Linked DNA regions of Mytilus edulis. The main gene of each other region encodes a partner of the protein of the gene in region 2 in a complex. Links are inferred from orthologs where the notes say so. Each region holds a gene or a part of one and is shown on either strand. Other genes may lie near its edges. The genes, in order: GATOR2 complex protein WDR59-like, protein SEC13 homolog and GATOR1 complex protein NPRL2-like.

The links.
Region 1: protein SEC13 homolog (region 2) and GATOR2 complex protein WDR59-like share a complex: the UniProt entries of both Drosophila melanogaster proteins name them as parts of the GATOR complex. The link is inferred for Mytilus edulis from reciprocal best matches to the Drosophila melanogaster genes Sec13 and Wdr59.
Region 3: protein SEC13 homolog (region 2) and GATOR1 complex protein NPRL2-like share a complex: the UniProt entries of both Drosophila melanogaster proteins name them as parts of the GATOR complex. The link is inferred for Mytilus edulis from reciprocal best matches to the Drosophila melanogaster genes Sec13 and Nprl2.

Annotation. Positions count from the first base shown.
Region 1 is NC_092348.1:39,835,388-39,843,342, reverse strand, and holds the start of GATOR2 complex protein WDR59-like, read left to right. Parts: upstream 1-4,845; 5' UTR 4,846-4,904; coding exon 4,905-4,955; intron 4,956-7,955. UniProt on the Drosophila melanogaster protein: A component of the GATOR complex, which functions as a regulator of the amino acid-sensing branch of the mTORC1 signaling pathway.
Region 2 is NC_092344.1:35,865,221-35,872,623, reverse strand, and holds the start of protein SEC13 homolog, read left to right. Parts: upstream 1-4,353; 5' UTR 4,354-4,498; coding exon 4,499-4,501; intron 4,502-5,655; coding exon 5,656-5,700; intron 5,701-6,293; coding exon 6,294-6,409; intron 6,410-7,403. Other genes in the region: serine-enriched protein-like, read right to left, coding at 421-471, 720-880, 1,086-1,285, 1,663-1,805. UniProt on the Drosophila melanogaster protein: Functions as a component of the nuclear pore complex (NPC) and the COPII coat. At the endoplasmic reticulum, SEC13 is involved in the biogenesis of COPII-coated vesicles.
Region 3 is NC_092344.1:56,141,011-56,149,093, reverse strand, and holds the start of GATOR1 complex protein NPRL2-like, read left to right. Parts: upstream 1-5,072; 5' UTR 5,073-5,174; coding exon 5,175-5,237; intron 5,238-8,083. UniProt on the Drosophila melanogaster protein: An essential component of the GATOR subcomplex GATOR1 which functions as an inhibitor of the amino acid-sensing branch of the TORC1 signaling pathway.

The DNA.
Region 1 (7,955 bases), on a different chromosome or scaffold from region 2:
ATACCGAAAAACGGGTTTTATTGCATACAAATCATTTAAAAGGCCTCATAATGACCCCTCAGAATTGTTACAATGGTTCTATAATGCCTCATATGTAGTTATGAGTTTGGATGTCCCTCTGGTATCTTTCGGCCCGATTTTGTAGACTTGATACCTAAATTATCAATTTCCTTGCCCTTAGTAGCAATATACCAGCTTCACTTGTGTATTGGATACACTTCATATGATGACACAATCTTTCAATCAGTTTAATTGAGGTTTGAAGCTGGCATGTCAGTAACTACTAGTAGTCTGTTGTTATTTCTGTATTATTGTCATTTTGTTTATTTTCTTTTGTTTCATATTCTGACATCGGATTCGGACTTCTCTTAAACTGTGCGTATTGTTGTGCGTTTGCTTTTTCTACATTGGCTAGATGTATAGGGGAGGGTTGAGATCTGAAAAAAAACGCCGCGATTTTTGCGCCTGTCCCAAGTCCGGAGACTCTGGCCTTTGTCACGTCTTGTATGATTTTTAATTTTAGTTTCTTGTGTACAATTCGGAGTTTAGTATGACGTGCATTATCACTGAACTAGTATACATAGTTGTTTAGGGGCCAGCTAAAGGACGCGTCCGGTTGCAAGAGTTTCTCGCTACATTGAAGACCCATTGGTGGCCTTCGGCTGTTGTCTGCTTAATGGTCGGGTTGTTGTCTCTTTGACACATTCCCTATTTCCATTCTCAATTTTATTTTCCCCTGACTCATTCGGTACTCTTGATTGATTGATTATTGGTTGGTTTACGCCGCATTAGCACGGTACTCATGAGCTCGCAGCTACGACTCAGACTTTGTTATACGTCACCATGTAGTGTCTGAGCAGAAAATTGTAAACCAGGGGTATGTCTCGTCCTTTTTTTTTTTTTTATAAAACCTGTTCATCGGAATACCAAAACCTTGTTGATAAATATTCCGTTGCAACTTCGCAAACATAAACGATGGTCAAGAAGTATAGATTCTAGGTACTGCTGCTAATATAAAAAAGAAGATGTGGTATGATTGTCAATGAGACAACTCTCCACAAGAGTCCAAATGCCACAGCAATTAACAACTCTATGTCACTGCTACCGGGATCCTAACCCTCCCCCTTACCTGGGACAGTGGTGTAACAGTACAACATGAGAACGCACTATAAAAATTAGTTGAAAAAGGCAGGACTCATTAGATGGATAAAAATACAAGTGGACGTGGCCGGGTACTTATACATCCCAACAACAACAAAAAAAACCCACTAAGTACATATCTGAGAGTACTCTCAGCTACTGACAGCTAGTTCAAAGCCACTAACATTTAATAAAAAATCATGCATATAAGACTTAATTATTAATCAGTACAAATCCAACATCCAATGGGTTTAGTGTAAAGACTTCTTAAACAGTTAGAGCAAAACACGACCTTGTGCAATGGAAAGCTACAGGTATCGACAGATTGTAGATCAATGAATTTGTAAATATATATATATATATATATAAAACAATAATATGTAGTTTGCTTTTAATTTACTGATAACAAAATCAATATTAATACCAATAAAAACAATATTCAATGATCTAATTACAGTGTTGAATTGGTAACTTTTTAGAATAAGTTTATTAAATGAATCGATAAGTTTACCAGGATTGTTTCTAAATTTCCAGACACGGTAAACAACATTTCCGTCAAAATGACGATCGATGTGCTACCTCGTTTGATTTAAGTTTTCTGTAGGAACAATCAAACTTAAAAACCAAATGTTTATATCTATGGAAGAATTTAGTAAAGGTTGTAAGTAATTTGTGGAAACGAAATCCCTGGCTTAATAATTTACCAGTACTGCAAAGATTACGTTCGTTAAAATCAAAAACGTCATAACAGACACGGGCATAGTGAACGAGTTGTGAAATCTAAACACCGCAAGATGTCGCCAAAGGAACATCACCATCCAAAAAGAAAAAATTAACAATAGGGAACGAAAAATCTTCCCTCTTGTCGTAAATTTTAGTGTTGAGTTTCCCGTTTAAAACCGAAATATCTAAAGCTTGTAAGAAACGTTATTAACGTTTAAATTTGATTTACTTTAAGCATGGAAGTATTTTATTGAAATCAGCGGGGTGCGAATGTGCTGATTTTTTGTCGGAGTTCCTGTCAATATAATACTTCCATGCTTTTATTAAGTTCCTGTGGGTAAATGTCGGCAGTATATTGAGAAAATACTTTTATTTAACGAATTGAACATTATTACTTTTTCTGTTTAGTCTTTTTTTTTTGTAATATTCATTTGACGTGGCTCGGTACTTATGCATCCTGTTAATGTGTTATGATAATATTTTGTATTCTTGTCATTAGTTTTACTAATGCGCTTTGTCTATGTGCCTTTTTTTGTTGACATTCATCTTTGTTTTTGTTTCGATAATAATATAGACTGATTATAACACAATGTACCCCCCTTTTTTAAAAACATTTTTACATTTTCTGTATGTTTGTTTTGTTTACATCGGTGCTTTCCTGTTGGACGATTGGCATTTCATATAAGCCAACAATTTTTTTATTTGTGCCACAAACTAAGTTTCGTTTGCGCTTAAATAAAACGTTTCATCATCAGTTTTCTATTAGTCCCCGAGGGTATCACCAGCCCAGTAGCCAGTAGCCAGTACTTCGATCGGTACTGGCATGAAAATACGGATTTATTGTGCTATTAAAATTTGCTGTTACAAAATGATAGAAATTATTATAAATTAAGGAATGTATCTCCCTCATGCAAAGCTCCGATTCCTTTCACGGATTTGGGCTATACTTTTTGGACCTTTTGGATTATAGCTCTTCATCCTCTATATAAGCTTTTGGATTTCAAATATTCTGGCCACGAGCATCACTGAAGAGACATGTATTGTCGAAATGCGCATCTGGTGCAAGAAAATTGGTACCGTTAATTTTATTTCGCCACAAACCATGTTTCGTTTGCGCCAATAATTGATTTTGCCATTTGAATAAGGACTTTACATTTTGAATTTGTTTTGGAGTTCGGTATTTTTGCTATTTTACTTTATACTCAATGTTGACTAAATTGTGCTTTTATGGAACGCTTAACTTCAAAAACTTTGCAAACCAATAATATAATTATACATACTCGAGAAGCTGTCCGTTTGGCTGTCAGTTGTGTATAAATACTCAGACCGTGACGTTCGGTTGTAATGGGGATGTTTACTCATAATTACGCTAAGAACCCATGTAACTATTTGAGGGTCGTAGATGGTCTGGTGCATAGCATAGTTTATGTCCATATCTGATATATCTTTGTTCTATAGCGATAGTCTTTATCCTGCCTTTCATAAAAGAGGGACGAAAGATACCAGAGGGACAGTCAAACTCATAAATGTAGAATAAACTGACAACGCCATGGCTAAAAATGAAAATGACAAACAGACAAACAATAGTACACGCGACACAACATAGAAAACTAAAGAATAAACAACACGAACCCCATACAGTTGGCGCACTATGTACAGCTACATATTGCATTCGTTGTTTTTTTCCTCTCGATCTGATTATGCATGAAAATTATCCACAAGACTATAAGTTCAAAATCATAAAACCTATCAATTATTTTTGAGAAAATATATCCATAAAATTGAAAATTAAAGCGAGAAATGTGTCAACCAGACAGCATTCAAACCAAAAAGCAGAAAGCAGCCCAAAGCTACCAATGGTTCTTTAACACAGTGGGAAAGCCCGCACCCAGAGGCGGGTTTCAGCTGACTCCTAAACAAAAATGTGTACTAGTTCAGCGGAAATACAATAAACTCTGAAACATAATCGAAACAAAAATTAATAAAACATGCACAACTAACGAAGCCAGAGGCTCCTCACTTGGGACAGGCACATACAGTTTAATAGCACAAAAAACAAAAAATATATCGGATAGGGACTGATATTTAACCGGCTTGCAATATGCCATATACAGATCCCGCAAAATGTTGTTGCAAAAGTTCTTAACGTATAGCCAACGTGACACTCTCTCTATACGTGGCATCGGATTTAACATCCCCATTATGACTGGACGTGCACGTGGGTGCGTACTTAAACATCCCACTCAGCCAAATGGACGTCCAAAAGAGAAGCAAAAAATACATGTACCAAAGTGATATTCGAAAAAACTGACAATGCCATGGCAAAAATATATTAAAAATACTTATAAAGTATACAAACTTGACCTAACATAGCAAACTGAAACCGGGGTTATCTCGATGTCAACTGGAAATGTAACCATGATACTGCTGCTCAAAAAAGCATGAGGTAACACATACCCCTCCAAATATCCGAGGCGCTATATATACGTTTGAACCCAAAAAAACATTGGCCATTCTTACAAAGCACTATTCCATACTTCAAAAGTCACATCAACTAAATCTTTCTGTGTCTATATGTCATATATGTACGTCGAATTTAACAAGTATGCTTAGTTTACTGACTTGACGTGAGCCAAAGAGCACTTGTTGATGGTGTTGCCTTTGAATCTTGTGACTGACTTGGCTTTATACATCTATAATTTGTTTTCCCTGTAAGTAAGAATAAACAAAATCTTAACGAAGAATGAGTTCTTATAGTGGTCAAAATATTGACTACACTAAATTGTTCAGTCTGACCAGCTTAGTCTTGACCAATTAATGTACACGTATAAGACCACAATTAAGTTTATCGAGTTGAAAAATTATAACAATTAGTAATCGTTGTTTTATTTAGTGTAGGCCGTATGTGAAACCATCAATGATCAAAAAGGATTTTTTTGTTCGTACAATAGCATGGACCGAAAGATAATGTGGCGAGTGAAGACTGTTTAAAATACCGATTCCCTTCGTGTCTATCGCCGTACTGATGGAGATCCGTGAAAATGTCACAATGGAGTGGCGAACAATCAGTTGCAGAATATGGGGATTTGCAGGTAAATTAAGTGAAAGATAAGTTCAAGGGACCTGTCATATGATCCACTAGGGTACGATGTATAATATTCGTCAAGAGAAAAGGTTAAAATTTAAACTGTCAGCCCTCAAAAGTCTTCCCTGAAAACAGTCAAAAGCAAGAAAAGGGAAATAATTTTAGGGTTGGCATAGAAATCAACAAAAAGGGTCACCCTTCGGCCTTCAACAATGAGTAAACCCTGCAATCTGCTATAAAACTGACAAACATAAAACAATTCCAATGAGAAAAAATGCCAATAATGGCCGGATAATATAAAAATACAGAACAATAAAAAATACGATATACACTAATACACCAAAAAATGACAACCACTGATTTACAGGCTCTTGATACAGGCCCATGCAAAATCAGTGGCATAGCTAGGCGGAAGCTCGGAAGCCAAGGCTTCAACATTGTTTGTCAAAAACAAAAAATCATAATAAAAAATTAAAAAAAAAAAACGAGGTAGAGGTACATTGTATGAGAGAGAGGGAGGAGATTCCGAGTGAGAGAAAGTGAAGGGAAAAATAAATGGGCACTGTGCGGTTAAATAAACAAAAAGTTGTAGAAGTCAACGAGTCGATATCACTTCTCAGACTCTCGGCATTCGTTCCCATTACCAGCGCTCTATTTCCCCTCTTTTTATAGCAGACGAATATTGTGTCTGCAGGGTGTTCTGCTATTTACAATGCAACGCAGAATTGACAATGCCTGTGACCAATTCCACCGCTGAATCAACGCAGTTTCAGTGTCATGTGCCGGGTTAAAACGTATCTGCATTAGGGAGCTACCATTTGAATTTTTATTGGGGGGGGGGGGCTAGGATGAAATTTGAAAAAAATAGGCAGGACAGGAGTTTTGAGTAAAAAAAAGGGCAGGATGAGACACTTGCAAAAAAATGACAATTTATGTAAAAAAAGTCAGGATAAACTAAAAAAGAAAAGCAGGACCGAATAGAGTGAAAAATAAAAAGGCAGGACAGAGATTACAACTAAAAAAATATGCAGGACAAAATTTTTCATCCTAGCCCCCCATAAAAATCAAATGACAGCTCCCTTATACGATGACAACCGAACAATTTTCGGGGCTATAGATGTATCCTTCACGCGTACAAGGAGACGTCCATTGATAAAGTAATTGACATTAGGCTTGCTTTTTTGTTGGTGAAAGAGATTGACTCTGACCAGGGACAGTCTATACTAGTTATTAGGCCAACTAAAATTAATTAGTAGATTTTCATCCAAATTTTTGAAAAAAATGGGGCGGGTGGGAGGATTTTTTTTTTAAATTTTTATTTCCAAATTTGAAACAGGAAGTTTGGAAGGAAACACAAATTTTGATGGTTACTGGAAACGGAGATGAACAAATCCAGAAATCGAAAAATTTTCAAAATAACAAAAATCGGGGCGGGACGATTTCAGAGGGGCGGGCGGGGATGAAAATCTACCAATTAATTTTAATTGGCCTTATAGAAAGTCCCTGCTTTGACTCTTTTAATAATTCATATCCACACAAACAATTCAAAGAAGAAAACTAATGGCCTGATTTATGTACAAAATAATGAAAGAAAAACAAATATGATACAGTAACAAACGACAACCATTACACTGAATTACATGCTCCTGACTTGGGACAGGCACATACCGAATGTGGCGGGGCTAAACTAATTTGAAGGCACCATCCTGCCCTAACCTGGGTACCCATTATATTAACCTGAATATATTGTTTACATCTCATCACCAAACAAATTTTAATGGTGTGGTTTTTGTCGAGCCTGCGACTTTTGTCACAAACGCGAGACATAGCGATCTTTACATTCCGTCGTCGGCGGCGGCGTCCAGAAATATTCACTGTGTGGTTAAAGTTTTTGAAATTTTAATAACTTTCTTAAAGTAAACAACCCTGGATTTCTACCAAACTTGGACAGAAGCTTGATTATGATCAAAAGCTAGTATCTAGAAGGAAATTTAAAAAAAATATATTTCCTGTTTTTCCGTATATTACTTATATATGGACTTAAGTTTTTCATCCAGTTACATACAGTCTGCAGTTAAAGTTCTTAAAACATTTATTAGATTCTTAAAGTAGGCGAGACACTGGTCTTAGCAAATATAACCTTTTTATCCCACTGGAATCTCCTGGTTTTTACAGTTTCTTTGAGGAACAATATATATTTTTTCACAAAATTATCTGACTTGTATCAAACAAAAATGCTTTTGACTACACCTTAACATTCAATATTTTCAGTTAATATTTGTGGGTGTAAAATCCTAAAAACCTGGAGCTTCTAGGGGCTTCGCCCCCTGCCCCCTACCAGGGCTTTGCCCTGGACCCACTGGTGGCCTTGAGCGGCCCCCAGACCCCCTGCCGATTTGGGCTTCACCTTCAACATTTGTCTAGCTACGCCACTAAAATGTAGCAGGTTAACTTTAGTTTCCCTTATGAAACTTGTACATAATGCTTATTACCAACACAACAACAAAAAAACACAGATCAATATAGTTAACCAGGGATCTCCATGACCTGTTTAATGATGGCGCCCCATCATCATTCAAATATCTTCTGCCATTGTCATAGACATGCGCCATCGTTCAAATTTATTTCACCTTGCACCATTTTTTTTTAGCAATTATAAGCAAATGCATGTAATTGCATAACCCTTAAGCTTTTTGTATTATAATCCAATACAGTTCTTGTGCCTGAGGGATATCTGGATTAATATCGACCGACTGTGCAACGGCTATATAGCCAGTCAAGGTCGTTAAAAACTTCCATTTGTGGTTGATTAAGATTGCTAATCACTTGTACATGTACATGTACCTGAGCTTGTACAGGTACAAATGTAGATCAACAAACCTTACAGAACACTTTCTGAAGATAGACGATTGATTTAAAGAGTTATTCAACTAAGTTTCAGCAAATGCTAATGATAATTTAGATTAAATAAATAAATTTATAATCCAGTTACAAAGAAAACAGTTAA
Region 2 (7,403 bases):
TTGCGATGGACGTATTCGTACACCGAAAACATGAATTTCTGGAAAACGAAATTAGATTAGCAATGCTACTGAAATTTAGCAAAATTATGTTTCTAATGCGTAAGTTTCACGACAAATTTGATATGCCAACAATGCGAGTCAGGCACGGCGAAAAGTACAACAATAAAGGAGTTCAATAAAGTAGTTCAGGCCATTGGCAACTATAAAGAAATCAAAAGCAGTAAACGTTTATTTTTATAAGCACTATGAATACATCATGTATAAACATTTCTATAGTTGTATTTTCAATCATATATAGTTATCTGTATAATTCATACTAGAATGCAAAGTATAGCACTAAAATTGATAATTCTATAAATTCAAACTTATGTCTCTTTGCTGGTACCGCGATCTTGTTCAGTGCTACGGGAATTCAATCTCTTAAAAAACAGATGAAGATGTTAACGATGCCTTTGTTGCAGTTCTCAAAATCTGAAAAAAAAACAAAAACACGTGAAAATGGCTTGTAAATATTGTTGGAGAATGCTTGATACTTAGACTGTTTTTTTTGGTTTTTTTTCAGTTTCTTTTTATCTTTAACCGATACACTTATATGCATCCATTAATTACTAAAATGTTTTTCTTTTTTTCTTTACCTCCCCCCCCCCTTTTTTCCCCCTACATGCACTTACATTACACAGAATCAATCATAAGTTTTTACAATAAAATTTAAATTTTACCTTAATCCTAAGTTTCTGTGCAGCTTTGTGGTCGCCATAAAAGATCGTTTCTTTCATCAATACGGTAGAAAAAGATTGCACTGACAGGCATCGGTCTATGAATTCCCAGCATGAATTCCGCAGGTCGGGAATATCAAACTCCGTAGCCAAACAAAGTAGCCCTAAAATGAGATCAGTAGCGATTAGCATTTCAAAACATTTTTAATGTTATTTCAGATTACTAGTTAGAACTGTTTAATTTTTGTCTTGATACAAAAAAAAAAGTGTGAAAAAAAGGAAAACACTTTACACTTTATTTGAGAAAAGCCTCCCCCTTTCTTCTATCAATCGATCGATGTTTATAGCGAGTTCACAACTTATGCTTACCAGTAACTGTTGATGGCTCTATTTCTACTGTTCCACAATGGACAAACAACAAAAATGTACGGAATATATCAGCATCATAATTATCTATAGTCATAGTCAATTTGTTGCTCTGGTCTGGTTGGATGTGCGTCGTTATCTTCGTTTTCTTTCTCTGTTTCAATGCTTCTTTTGAGTATTTCAAAAACATAACGAAAAATAACCTAGAAATGGAAATTAAGATTTAAAATTTATTCCCAGAAAACTATTATACTAAGAATACATGGTTTATTATAGCTGCAAAGTAGTTCGGTTTAGAATATATTCCATTGTTTAGAAGACTCACTTCAAGCGAAACTCGTTGTTTTTCTTTCAACTTTCTATAAAACAGATGGCATTTAAAATTACCTAAAATCAAAGACGCACTCAATTCATTATCATAATGACCTGTTATATTTCTTGGACAATTTAAAAAAAAAAACCAAAAAACCGATATGATATAATTCGTCCAAATTTGAGACTGTATTGAGAAAATGCATATAAACTATTTACATATGTACAAATGTATTGGAGATCAACATCTATTAATTTAGACAATTACCTGCTTCGTGTGCTTAAAATAGCCTTCAGTCCATAGACGGGAACTCTTTGTGGGCCTACGATAAACATAACATCGCATAAATCTGGCATCGATAAAATATATCGAATGTTATCGATCAATGTATGCACATTGGTTACTTTCATCGAATCGGCAATATCGTTATCATTATGTATGTCGTCATCCTCATATGAGTAATCATTAAACGGAATCGATTCAGCAGATGAAATGTCCGATTTATCAGATAATGGGACTATTTGTAATCTGTTGGAGCAGTTTCTTTTTGTATCTTGATCAGAGAAGTACTCTGGTGAATCATATCCAGATGAAAAGTCTAAAAATACAAAATGATTAAAAATTTTAAAGATATTCCAAGAGTGTTTCAAAACAGTTGTTTTTGGTTAACTACTGCTTGTTTTTAATATAAAAAAAAAGAAGATGTGGTACATGATTGCCAATGTGACAATTCTCCACAAGGGACCAAATGACACAGAAATTGAAAATATCAAGATATAATTTCCTGTATATGAATAACTTTTTAGACATGAAAATACAAAACGAGAAGAAAAAGACTTTCAGTAATGGTGATAGTTTTTCTATGAAGAATTTACTTTAATATATGTTTTTCAAGTTTTCTTATTAACACTAGCTTTACGATTAGAATGTTCAAAGACTCGACGAACGTTTAACAGATATTTTAAATTGTGAAAATACAAATTATAACACACTTACCTTCATTTTCACTATCTTGGGATAATAAATTGGCTTTTTCCTCTACCATAGTTTGACATTTAGTTGAACTAGTAAACAATGCCATCATGTATGTCTTGTAAGCTTTGGTTGTTTAAATGATTTGAAACCTAGGCTTGGGATATTTATACGCTCATTTCTGATTAAGAAATTTTAAAATCCCAAAGTTCCAAAGTTGTGACATTCCGAAAATTGGTCTGTCAGTTTCATAAATATTGTTGACGTGGACATGATCTTTTTCTTACAATTTAACTAAACGGTAGATTTCCGTTGACAAGTTGACGAGCTGTCTTTTGGCTTGGAGTGATCAGAATGTCATTTTATGATTATTCTATCGTTAATTACCCAACACCTCATTAGAGCAATTATAACTTTTTTTGTTTTTCACTAAACGCGTAAATGGATTCAGATTCAGATTCAATATTTTATTTGAGTCTCACCACTTGTAAGACATATAATACAATCATCATAATATATACATTGAATAAGACAAAAATTTTATAAATTAAAATACAAGTGCCATTCTATAAAGAATTATGAGAGACTATAGAAATCAATATAAATTATAATTATATATTTATCATGTCTATAAAAACATTTTTGTTATGTAAAACCATACAACTACAATTAGCATGTCTATAAAAAATTTCAAGTTTATAAAAACATAACCATGCATCAATCAAGCACCAAGCATATAAAAAACTATTTTTTCTACTTAAATTGTTCTGAGACTACTATAACATTATAGTAGTCTCAGAATTGTTAAAGCAGGTCTTGGCAACCACATCAAAACAATCAGTATTTTTAAAAAGATATATATCACCATCAGATTAAATATTAAAATCACCATTACTTCTTTTAACTTCATAAACTAAAATTTCATGTAAATCTGCATATAAAGCACATGTTTCTCATCTTCAATTTTATCATTGCACACAAAGAAAACTCTTTCATTTACAGTTTTATTTTCATAGCCACCTGTTACTATTCGCAATGGGGGCAACGCCACACCTACATTTAGAAATTGCACTTCTGTATCGTATTGAAATGTTCTTCCTCAAATACATCTCTGTTTCAAAAACATTTTTAAACAATTTATAAGTGCGTAATTTTTTTCCAACATTTTGTGACAATATTCTATTATGCCAATTTATCTTAATTTTCAAATAAAAAATCTTCTAACTATGTAATTAAATAACATTTTTATGCAACACATTATCTAAATTAGTGTATAAATCTACATTACATTCTCTAAATTTTGTCCTAATTCTATAAATGGAGTACATATTTAAATTCATAATTGATTTATGTAGAAATGGGCAGTATTCTTATACCTGGATAAAGATGAAGTAAAAGGTGGTTCATCGGTCTAAATACTATAAAAAAAAAAACATTTTCTCATATTTTATTTCAAAATTCTGTCTTATATTTTTTTTCATTCGCATCAAAGATTTATGTCATCATTGATGAAGAATGCATATAATCAAAGATTTGTATAGTTACTATAGATATACCAGAGACATATATATATGTCTCTGGATATACAAATCCTTGATATAATTATCCAATATTGCTCGACTTAATTGCAGAATGAAAAATAGCATGGTTCACCCAGGGACTTTCTCAATACCTGATGAACCATACTCTTATTTTATTTTTTAAGAGAAAAAAAATGGTAAAATATATTTTTTGGTTCCTAAACTAAAGTATGAGAAAATTGTATAGCTATGAAGAAATAAATACCGATGATGGCGTTATCTCCCTTAACAGTTTTTTGCTGACATTTTTTGTTTGCACAATAAGTTAAAAAGAAATAGATAAATGGGCAGAAAAAGAAATAGATAAATGGGCAGAAATAGAAAATAATGACCCGAGGACTTATTTATTTAAAAACATGCTATGAATTTTATCCGGAATACGCCACTGTTGAAAAAGGTTCACCCATCGGTTGAAGGGGGGATAACTTTGCAGTTTTACCGGAAGTAAATTTTGCCACGTTCGTGTTGACATGTAAACTTAAGCCTGGCACATTCTGAGGCATTTAAAATAGACAAAACACGCTAATACTTTACTTCAGGACAAACCCACAATGGTAGGTTACAGGTGAAAATATTGCTAACTATACTGCTTGTATACAAAGACTAACACAAAATATATCTGTTAGTGTTTAGTGTTATGAGACCGGGAACTTATAAGTCTTTATATATAATTTAAATATAGTATTTTTTAGTATCATCAATTGTGTTTTAGTTAATTCGTTTATGATATAACAACAGTGAGACACTTTTTCATTCTCAATTACAAGTCTACTCAATGACTACTGGACGTTAGTTTTCTCGTAGAATTGTTTTACATTGTCTTATCGGGGCCTTTTAGAATCCGGGTCCGTTCGCCCTGATTCATGTTCGTCCGAGAACCTGTTCGCCCTGATACCTGTTCGCTCAGGGTCCATTCGCCCTGATTATTATTTTTTTCTAATTGTTGTCTAGTCGCATTATTTTAAGTGTTTGAACAAATTATGTTAAAGTTTGTTGAAAAATTGACAGAATATTTATATTGCAGCAATCAATTTATCATTTTCCCTTTGATTTGCAGAGTAGAATACTGGAATACAATGTATTTATCTTTATTGATATTTGTTAACAAAATAATTGTAATCAGTCAATCACGAAAGTATGCAGTATAAATAAATGAACTAGTCTTGTAAATCCGTTTCATAATTTACAGTTCGTACATCATTAGTTTTATTAATTTCAAGCTGAATATTTTATCAAAATAAAACGTTTGTTTTTATTATTAATCCATCAGAAGACAAGGTTCACAATAATCAGTTATCCGTATTATTTTGTAATTGAACAATTAATGATCAAAAACAAGCCATAAACTTTTAAATATTTCAATGTTTCCATAAATTTCAAGAATATACATGATATATATACCATAGAAATATCTGAATAAGTTTATTCAATTTCCAATGCCCTGAATATTAATATTTTTATAGTAGGGCGAACAGACTCTGGGCGAACGAACGGACCTAGGGCGAACGGTCCCGATACCGGCCTTTTATAGCCGACTATGGGGTATGGGCTTTGCTCATTGTTGAAGGCCGTACGGTGACCTATAGTTGTTAATGTCTGTGTCATTTTGGTCTTTTGTGGATAGTTGTCTCATTGGCAATCATACCACATCTTCTTTTTTATATAACTTGTTTGCTAAGATAATCATAATTTGTTTTAACTATTTCAGGTTTCCGTCATCAATTCTATAGATACAGCTCATGAAGATATGATTGTAAGTAATAATACAAAATTTTAAGAACATGTCATTGGATCAGAAATGCTAGGTTTTTTTTAATGCATTTACATAAACATGATAAATGCAGAAAATGAATAAAGACACTTGTCAAACAAAGTTTACTAACTTATCATGTGAGCACTGCAATACACCTTAGCACTTATCCCGGCTGACCCAGCCGCTTTAACTTTTGACGCAATTGTACATGTAGTCAAAACAATTTAAAATTAACCATGTTAACTCGAGCAAAATACTGACAACCAAAATATATTTACTGGTACTAGCAGTGTATTTATTGTGATACAATGTACCTTAAAAAATAAACATATATAATTCAGCTAATATGTCAAACTAGAAATATTTCAGATTTGAGCACATCATCAAAGTTGCAAGGTCTTCTAGAAAGGGCTTAACACAAAACAAATGTAATCGCTGTTAAATTATGGTCTTCTATTAAATAATGAATGCATAGGGCCCTCGTCTAGCATCAAATTCTGGAACTCTTTAGTATACATGTAATATACTAGTAAATAACTTCTTTATCATTCAAATTATGTTAAATTATTGTAGAAAACAATTATTTATTTCAGCATGATGCTCAGCTTGACTACTATGGAACAAAACTAGCTACCTGCTCATCAGACAAAACCATTAAAATATTTGATGTTAAAGATGGCCAACAGACACTTATAAATGAATTACAAGGGTAAGAATACATACATATCACATGAATATACATTTTTAGTTCATACATGTAGGTGTTTTTTATTTGAGTGTGTATTAATAAGATAAAAATAAAGAGATGTGGTATGTTTGCCACTGCAATGAAACAATTATCCATTTGAAGCCAAATGAGGATACAGTTGCTCCTTTTCTTTGGGGTACCCTCCTTTTTGAATATAAATCTCCAAAATTAAGAAATTAACTCCTTTTTTAAATCTAAATTCTAGGAGCAAAAACAAAGGTGTTTACGTGTATGGATTGTCAATATTTTACACAGATTTTTTAATAAAATTACTCAATACGGATTCGTCATGAAAAAGTACAGATTTTCTAACAATCGGTGAAAAAATCATAGTTGCTTTCGTTTACGGCGATCAGTGTCTGAAAGGCACTTTTTTGACTGGGAATAACCGCTCTTTAAAGGGCAAAAATGATAGCGATCAAGTATATTTCATGGACGGCATGAATCAGGATGCCAGCGTTTGGAATTATGAAAATTCACCACAGTATCGCACATTGTGAAAAGTTTTTTCTTGTGTTAGAAAAAAACGAACTGAACAAAGATCCTGCGAACTCTGAACTATGAATTGAATATGATCTACAATAGTACCTTGTTAAACCCTTAATCTGTTGGCAACTTTGTATTGAAAGTAACTTGCTAATATTTATATTCATTCAATGGCAATTAAATTTCTTGTCATAAGTATTGAAATCTTGTCCCTATTGAAATTATTATTTTGAGGTTTTGTATTTTTAATGTGTTGTACAACAGTACAAGATTAAATAATTAATGAAATTTTTAATATTTGCATGTTTTGACTTATTCCAAACTTTAACTCAACTTTTTGTAAAATCATGCAAATTTTAGGTTATAATCTTTGTTGCAAAAATATCTGAATAAGACTGCAGATACTGTCAGAATGCAGGAAATTGCACCTAGTTTTTCAAAAGTTTCTTGGGGGGGGGGGGGGGCATGC
Region 3 (8,083 bases), about 20 Mb from region 2:
CCATAAAACAACCAACAATGACAAAATGCTTTCCATGTCCTCAACCAAGTCATCACTAAGGCCATTCAACTTCAATAAACATTCTGTTTGTATTAGTCAAAGTCAAAGTGCAGTGCTAGTGAAATAGTCTCAACAGAGTAGAAATGAGTAAAAAAAAATGTTTTTGAAGATATTTGAACATTTATAAAATGATATTTATTTCAAGATGTAGGACACACATTGGACATTTTAGTGTGCTGATTTGGGTCTCCATGCTGTGGTATTTTGTTAGAAGATTATGGCATCCTACATCGTAGCCTTGGAATTTATTTTGGAAAATAGAAAAAAAAATCTTTTGTTGATGAAAGCACATGGCAAAAGGCAATTTAATGTAAACAATTTCTGTATTTCTTTTATCTTAGTTGACAATTATAGATATGAGGGTAGATAGGACCTTTATCGGGACTCCGGGGTTGAGTGTTTTCAAGCTCAGGATCTCGGGATTGACCCTTTCAACACCCAGGAATTCTTTTTTCGAAATTCGGTATGTTGGGATTTAAATTTATTTAAATTCAGGACCTCAGGATTTCGAGTTTTTAAGCCCAGGATTTCAGGATAAGTTTTCAGAATTATGATCCATGTGGTCACAGTTATCTCCAATTGATTAAAGGTAAGCTTCATCAAAACAACTTCATTCACTTGTTAAATTTTGAAAAATGACCAGAGCAACTGAATTAATTTTAAAGACTATCGAGGTAGTGACCATTTCCTAAATAATAAGAGTGACATTTTTCTCGTGCGGGGGAGTCAAGATTTCCAAATAATTTTTTGTTTGTTAATTGCATCTGGCATTTTTTTTTTTAAAAAGAACAAATTAGCTTATTCAAAATTTGAAACCCTTCAATTTGAAAAGTGTTTTGTATGAAATTTTGTAGTTTGGTTAGGCATTGCACAAAAAGGGTGGGCTTTATATAAAAAAGTTTCACCCTGCAACATGCTCATGTGCTTAGGTCAGATATTGGTGTGTATGTAAGTTATTTGTTAGTCTGTTCATTTTATTCACAAATCTTTTAGACTTTGGATGATTTACAAGTTCATGTATTGTATAAACATCAGTCTATAGTTGAAGACCTGTAGATGTCTTTGGTTATTTATTTTCATTGGGTAGCTGCCTTGTTGATTTATACCCTACATCCCCCTTTTTTTTATAATGATGCATAATATCTAACCAATAAAAAGAATACTCACCAAGTTTGATTATAGATGAGGTTCTTACCATAATATTTGGTAACCCCAGATATACTTAACAGCTGGCTTACTGTTCACATTGCTTACTCTTCAAGGTCATCAATCTCTCTTCTGCTCTCTGCTCAGTTGTTGGCTCCTCTAAAACATCATTTCTTTTTAATAAATATGAAAGAATGGAACTTAAAACTCTATATTATTTATCATTCTTTATAAATCTTGGTTGGTTGGCCAGGTCACTGGACACATTTTTAGGCCAGGTGAGCTAAAAAAGTGTACTTAACTTATATTACCTTATTTATAACTTATAATGATAAATTTCATTGATAAAATGTATGTCTGTATAAATGACTTGTATATCAATAGCAACAAAAAGTATATTTTCATACATTTAATTTTTTTTTAAAACTTATTCAAACTTTTGAGTGAAAATGATAAATTTTGTGCAAATTGATTATGTATAAGATGAAGAACAGCAATAAAAGCACTGTTCCTTTCTTTTGTTCGTTTATTTATGCTGTCTATGTACTGATTTTGTATTCTGGATGGATATTCCTGTGTGCATATTATTTGTTTACCTATTAAACTGTAGCACTAGGTCTATCAAAGATGAATACCGTTGTATACTTTAATGTCCAAATCATAATAGTAGTCAAATCTGAGAAAAGTTTATCAAGAAGAATTTTGGGAGAAATTCATCATCAAAAAACTAATCCAGAAGCTTTCGGTCTCAGACATTTATGAATTTTTTTTTTAGGTATATTTAGTTTAGATCATCACAGAAACAATCTAACAATCTAATTGTTAATATACATATAGTACAATATATTATCAGATAAACCTGCTAGTAATCCGGATGGTAAAAAAAAAAATGATTAAGTTTTGTAATAAACTATTTGATTATACCTGTATTCAAGGCTTGGTCTACTGTATCAAGAGAAAATCAACATGTTTGTGAAATGAAGTTGATATACTGTCTTGCTTTCCTAGATGCATCTGAATACCAATTTAGATTTTTTAGATAACTAAGTTTGTAGTGTCAAAGTACTGAAAAGAAACATTTAATATTAAAATTATTCCAGAAAATATGTTGCAAACCAAAAAGTATGTGTGTTTACTGTACCCATACCTTCCCTAAAGTTTTGTTGGGAAATTTTTTGATTTAGCAATGTTGCTCCCATAGACTCAATATTTTTGAGTCTATTGACCCTACAATACAAGGTTTTCAACATAGACGTTTTCAGTAAGTTTTGCCAACCAGTTCAAAAACTTTACCCAAATTTGATTGGTTAAACTGTTAATTGTTCCCAAGACAGATACATGAATGTGAGCTCTATTCTTTTTGTTATATTTGCCACTGGAAATTATGCAACCAACAATCAATCATGAATCTTAAATGGTTAAAGTAAAAGCTCTATGCTGTAACTCAAGTAAAGCTTGTATATATAGACATGCACAGACATTAAGAAGATGTTTAACATATCTAGAAGTAAATCAAACAAAACAGATCACATTAAAGAAATTTATGATAAATAAATGATACCTTAAATCTTCTATAACTTTGAACTCATCTGATGTCCCCAAAATTTTTAAGGAAAAACACAGGAGTTTGTCCAAGTAAAGATCAATTTAAACTAAAATAAAGCCCAATTCAAACCTGTTGATCACATGATAATTTATACACTCAAATCTACTCACTTCACACTTGAGTAACCAGCCGTGTAGCCAAATATTTTCACCTGACAAAAGTATTGCAAAAAAATATGTAACTGATTTGCTCAGATAACAATGAATTGCCCTCAAGGGAATTCTTTTTAACTTATTAAAATTTAAAGAACAGTAAAATCTGAAGCATGAGGCCGCCAAAGAACCTGCATTTAAATTTTTAAGTTTGAGCACGAAAACTGATTAAACTAAAAAGTGGACCAAGGACATGAAGAATCAAGTTCTTCTACCTTTTGAAATGGCTTAATCATATTTACACTTCAACCCCAGGCTGAATTTTCATGTTAACTGTAAAAAAAATATAAGTCCATTTATGACTTTACAAGCTTTGTTTGATATGGAAAGGTATATAGCCACGCTTTAGGCCCAATTTTATTTTCTCGGCTTTCAAGTTCTATACATATGAATCGTATTGCAGAGAAATAAAAAAAAAAAAGACACAGTTTTACGCTTCCCAAATTTGAAAATTTGAAAGAGATGATTGTTTATTCTCTCGTAAGTTTTTCACCACTTAACCTCATCTAAACGAACAACCCCAGTCATCGATTTTTTTTATACTTTGTGGTATTGTTGATAATTATAGTATCTGACTATCAATGAAATTTTATCTGAGGAAATGTAAATAGATGATTTCCAACCATGAATAGCGTCTCGAATCGACAACGTAGAAAACGTATAAAAATCGTCCAGTGGACAAAATTGCAAGACATTTAATTTCTTTGAAAACGAAGTCGTTTTGAATGCGCAAAGTATCAAAAAGTATGTAGCTGACTGTTTTGTAGAGTTAATAAAAAGTTCAATTACGGAAAAGCACTATTTAGGATGCAAGGATTCTAAAGTTTCAATAAATAACGTCGCAATTAAATGACACTTTATTTGTAAAAAGCGGCGAATTCCGACATTGGACATCTTGCAGAGGCGGATTTAGAGGGGGGGCCCAGGGGGCCCGGCCCCCCCCCTTTTTTGGGAAAAAAATTGGTTGCTTATAAAGGGAATCATTGAAGCGTGACTGGAGCGGGCCCCCTCTTAGGTCAGTCAGTGGGCCCCCACTTATGAAAATTTCTGGATCCGCCACTGATTCATTCGAATTTTCGCGGATATAACACTGTTTTGAAGAACACAAAACAAACCTGCTAAAGTTATTATTCGTACAGTCTGTTTACGTCTGACACGCATATTTTTGACGTTTTGTCAATATGTTGTCATCATTTTAGACTAAAATTATGATAAAACAATTTATAGTTTTTTTCCGGAATAGTCATGATTTATGCCTATCTAGTCTATAGCTATCAATTTTATATAACTTAACTGTTATGATTTTACAGCGTGAAAAGCTGTTTATTAGTGTGGACTGGTTGATTACACCGCGGTATTGACGCAATAACGTGCTTTACGTCTGACTGAGTCATTGCGCACCCAGCGATAAACGGAAACTACGAAGAAATTACTTAACAGATACCAAGTTTATATAGAACAATGGCCATTTAATTACGTTCATTCCAACAGAGATATCCTATGTAAGCGAAGATCGACTTTGAAAGAAAATATCGTTTTCGGGGCATAGCCTGCGGCAAATAGAAGCAGAATTGTCACAGTTTTATATGCAAATTTGGTTGTATTTTTGTTGTGGATCATTTTCATTTTCTCTTTAGATAAACATAAATTTAATATCATTTCAAATTTGCTATATGTTTTAACCAAAATTTTAAATAGTAAAAAAAGTATACAGCAGAGGCGGATTTAGGGGGGGGGGGGCAGGGGGCCCGCCCCCCCCCCCCTTTTTGGGAAAAAATTTGGTTGCTTATATAGGGAATCACTGAAGCGTGACTGGAGCGGGCCCCCTCTTAGGTCAGTCAGTGGGCCAATTTCTGGATCCGCCACTGTACAGTATACATGTTCACATCAAGAGAAAACAAATACAACATCGGACTTGATTTCTTGCTACATAATAGATGGAGGAGCACGCCCGAGTCACCTTAAGTTTATTAGAAGTTATGTTTAAAAAATGCCTAAATAGGATTCTACATGTACCAATACAGACAATACAGACAGGCCACTACAGACATATCTGGTTCCGTTCCCGGGTATTGATGGTCATATTTTGGTAAAACCTCAATAATCAGCTGATATTTTTCGATTACCTCCCTTCTTGCAGACAACTTTTTAGTTTATTTACATTTGTATTTACTTATATTCCCCTGCATTTACAGATTAAATTTGAAACAATGATAAAGGGAATGTGCCTTGCAGAATTCCATCCAACTGCTGGTCCTAAGATCAAATATCAAGTAAATGCACATACTGTAAATGTCTTTGCCCTGTGAAAATTGTGAGATACACATAAAATTTGTATCATGATGCTTTAAGGTTCATCATAACCTTTTGGCTAAAATGGCCGTATTTACACCCCAAATTTTACTCTGAGTACAGACTAACCTATACACCTGCAACAGTTTTAAGGGATGGCAGGAACTAGATATATAAATTTTAAATGCATTTTATGTTTCAGAAAATTATAAACTTATCTAGATTTTGCTATCCATTTTTTTTCGTTCCTGCAGAAGGTGCAAAAATTAACTAAGTAGTGAAAACGATTGAGAAGCTCCCCTCATATAATCAATGTTGTGAGTAGTATTGATTTAAATGGACAATAGATGGACAATAGACACCTGTAAACAATAGGTTATTTAACAGGTTTAAACTGTGTAACTGAGTGGACCGTATCAAATGAAACTCGGGTGTTTGTTTATTTTGCTATCTTCTGCAGACTGGAAAAAAATGAACATCAAAATCCAGGTAAGTTTTTAATTTTCTGAAACGTAGATTTCATATAACTTTTATATATCTAGTTCCTGCCATGCCTTAAAACTTTCCTGGATGTACCAGTTTGTCTGTACTCATAGTAATTTTGGAGGTGTAAACACGGCCATATTTTTCAATTCCTTATGATGAACCTTAATGTTCATCATAACCTTTTGGCTAAAATGGCCGTATTTACACCCCAAATTTTTCTCTGAGTACAGACAAACTGGTACATCCAGGAAAGTTTTAAGGCATGGCAGGAACTAGATATATAAAAATATGAAGTCTACGTTTCAGAAAATTAAAAACTTACCTGGATTTTGATGTTCATTTTTTTCCAGTCTGCAGAAGATAGCAAAATAAACAAACACCCAAGTTTCATTTGATACGGTCCACTCAGTTACACAGTTTAAACCTGTTAAATAACCTATTGTTTACAGGTGTCTATTGTCCATCTATTGTCCATTTAAATCAATACTACTCACAACATTGATTATATGAGGGGAGCTTCTCAATCGTTTTCACTACTTAGTTAATTTTTGCACCTTCTGCAGGAACGAAAAAAAATGGATAGCAAAACCTAGAAAAGTTTATAATTTTCTGAAACATAAAATGCATTTAAAATTTATATATCTAGTTCCTGCCATCCCTTAAAACTGTTGCAGGTGTATAGGTTAGTCTGTACTCAGAGTAAAATTTGGGGTGTAAATACGGCCATTTTAGCCAAAAGGTTATGATGAACCTTAATGGTCGCCTATCCAGGCTCTTGTTTCTATCCATGGGGAGGTCGCCTATCCAGGCACTTGTTTCTATCCATGGGAAGGTCGACTATCCATATATATGCACAGTCGACCTTCCCATGGATAGAACAGTAGAAACAAGTGCCTGTGATGTTTATTCAGAGAAAGGAGGGGGCGGGGGTTGGACCTTTATCGAGACTCTGAGACAGGGTGTTTTCACAAGTTTTTAAGCTGGCATTAATACTTTCGGGATCCAAGAATTCTTTTTTCTAATTTTGGGATGTCGGGATTAAAATTTCTTTAAATTTAGGACCTTAGCCATCTTGTATCTGTTTCTGTATCTGTATTTTACACAGTGCAGGATCCAATCGCGGATATACATGTATGCGCACTAGAAGGAGAGCGGGTTGGTTAGTCCAACCGTTGGAGGGCAGCCGTGAAACACTCAACTGTTTTTTGACATGCAGTTTTCTCGTCCAGATGGTTCCACTCTACTATTGTTTTTGGAAAAAAAGAGTTCTTTCGAATGTCTGTTTTGCAGTCTATTAACTTGTATGAACTGCTATTTCTAGTTTCTTGTCTTTCCACGATGTTTGAGTATTGAAAGTCACTAAAGTTTTTTGCCTTGACTTGGCGTTTATTTCTTGTCTTTTGCAGGTAATAAGTTGGATCAATCGCTCAACCACTTTGTAGAACATAGTCAGCCTCTGATGTTTCCTTCGTTCTTGAAGAGGTGGTAGTTTTGGCTTAGAAAGCATATTTGTGACGCACCTGGTGTCTGGATTTATAATCGTGCAGGATGAAACGTGCTCCTCTTTTCTGTATGCTTTCTATTTTTAGCTAACCTGGCCCAAAGGGCCAAGTGAGCTTTTCCCATCACTTGGTGTCCGTCGTCCATCGCTGTTAACTTTTACAAAAATCTTCTCCTCTGAAACTACTAGGCCAAACTTGGCCACAATCATCACTAGGGTATCTAGTTTAAAAAATGTGTGTGGTGACCTGGCCAACAAACCAAGATGGCCACCATGGCTAAAAATAGAACATGCGGGTAAAATGAAGTTTTTGGCTTATAACTCTGAAACCAAAGCAAGTAGATCAAATCTTACAAAGTTAAATTGTTTATCAAGTCAATATCTATCTGCCCTGAAATTTTCAGATGAATCAGACAACTGGTTGTTGGGTTGCTGCCCCTGAATTGGTAATTTTTAAAGAAATTTTTCTGTTTTTGGTTATTATCTTGAATACTATTATAGATAGAGATAAACTGTAAACAGCAATAATGTTCAGCAAAGTAAGATCTAAAAACCAAAATGGTCAGTTGACCCCTTTAGGAGTTATTGCCCTGTATAGTCAATTTTTAACAATTTTTCGTAAATTTTTGTTATCTTTTACAAAAATCTTCTCGTCTGAAACAATAATTTTTAACAACTTTCACTAATTTAAACATTCCAGCAGCACCTGCATATGGGGTATATATCTCCCAATTGATACGATATTCCTGTGCTTGCATTTCCTATCATGATTTTCTTGATAGAGGGTTACTGCTCACAAGGAAGCTATTAAACCAAGAGTTCCAAATGGTGAAGTTGAAA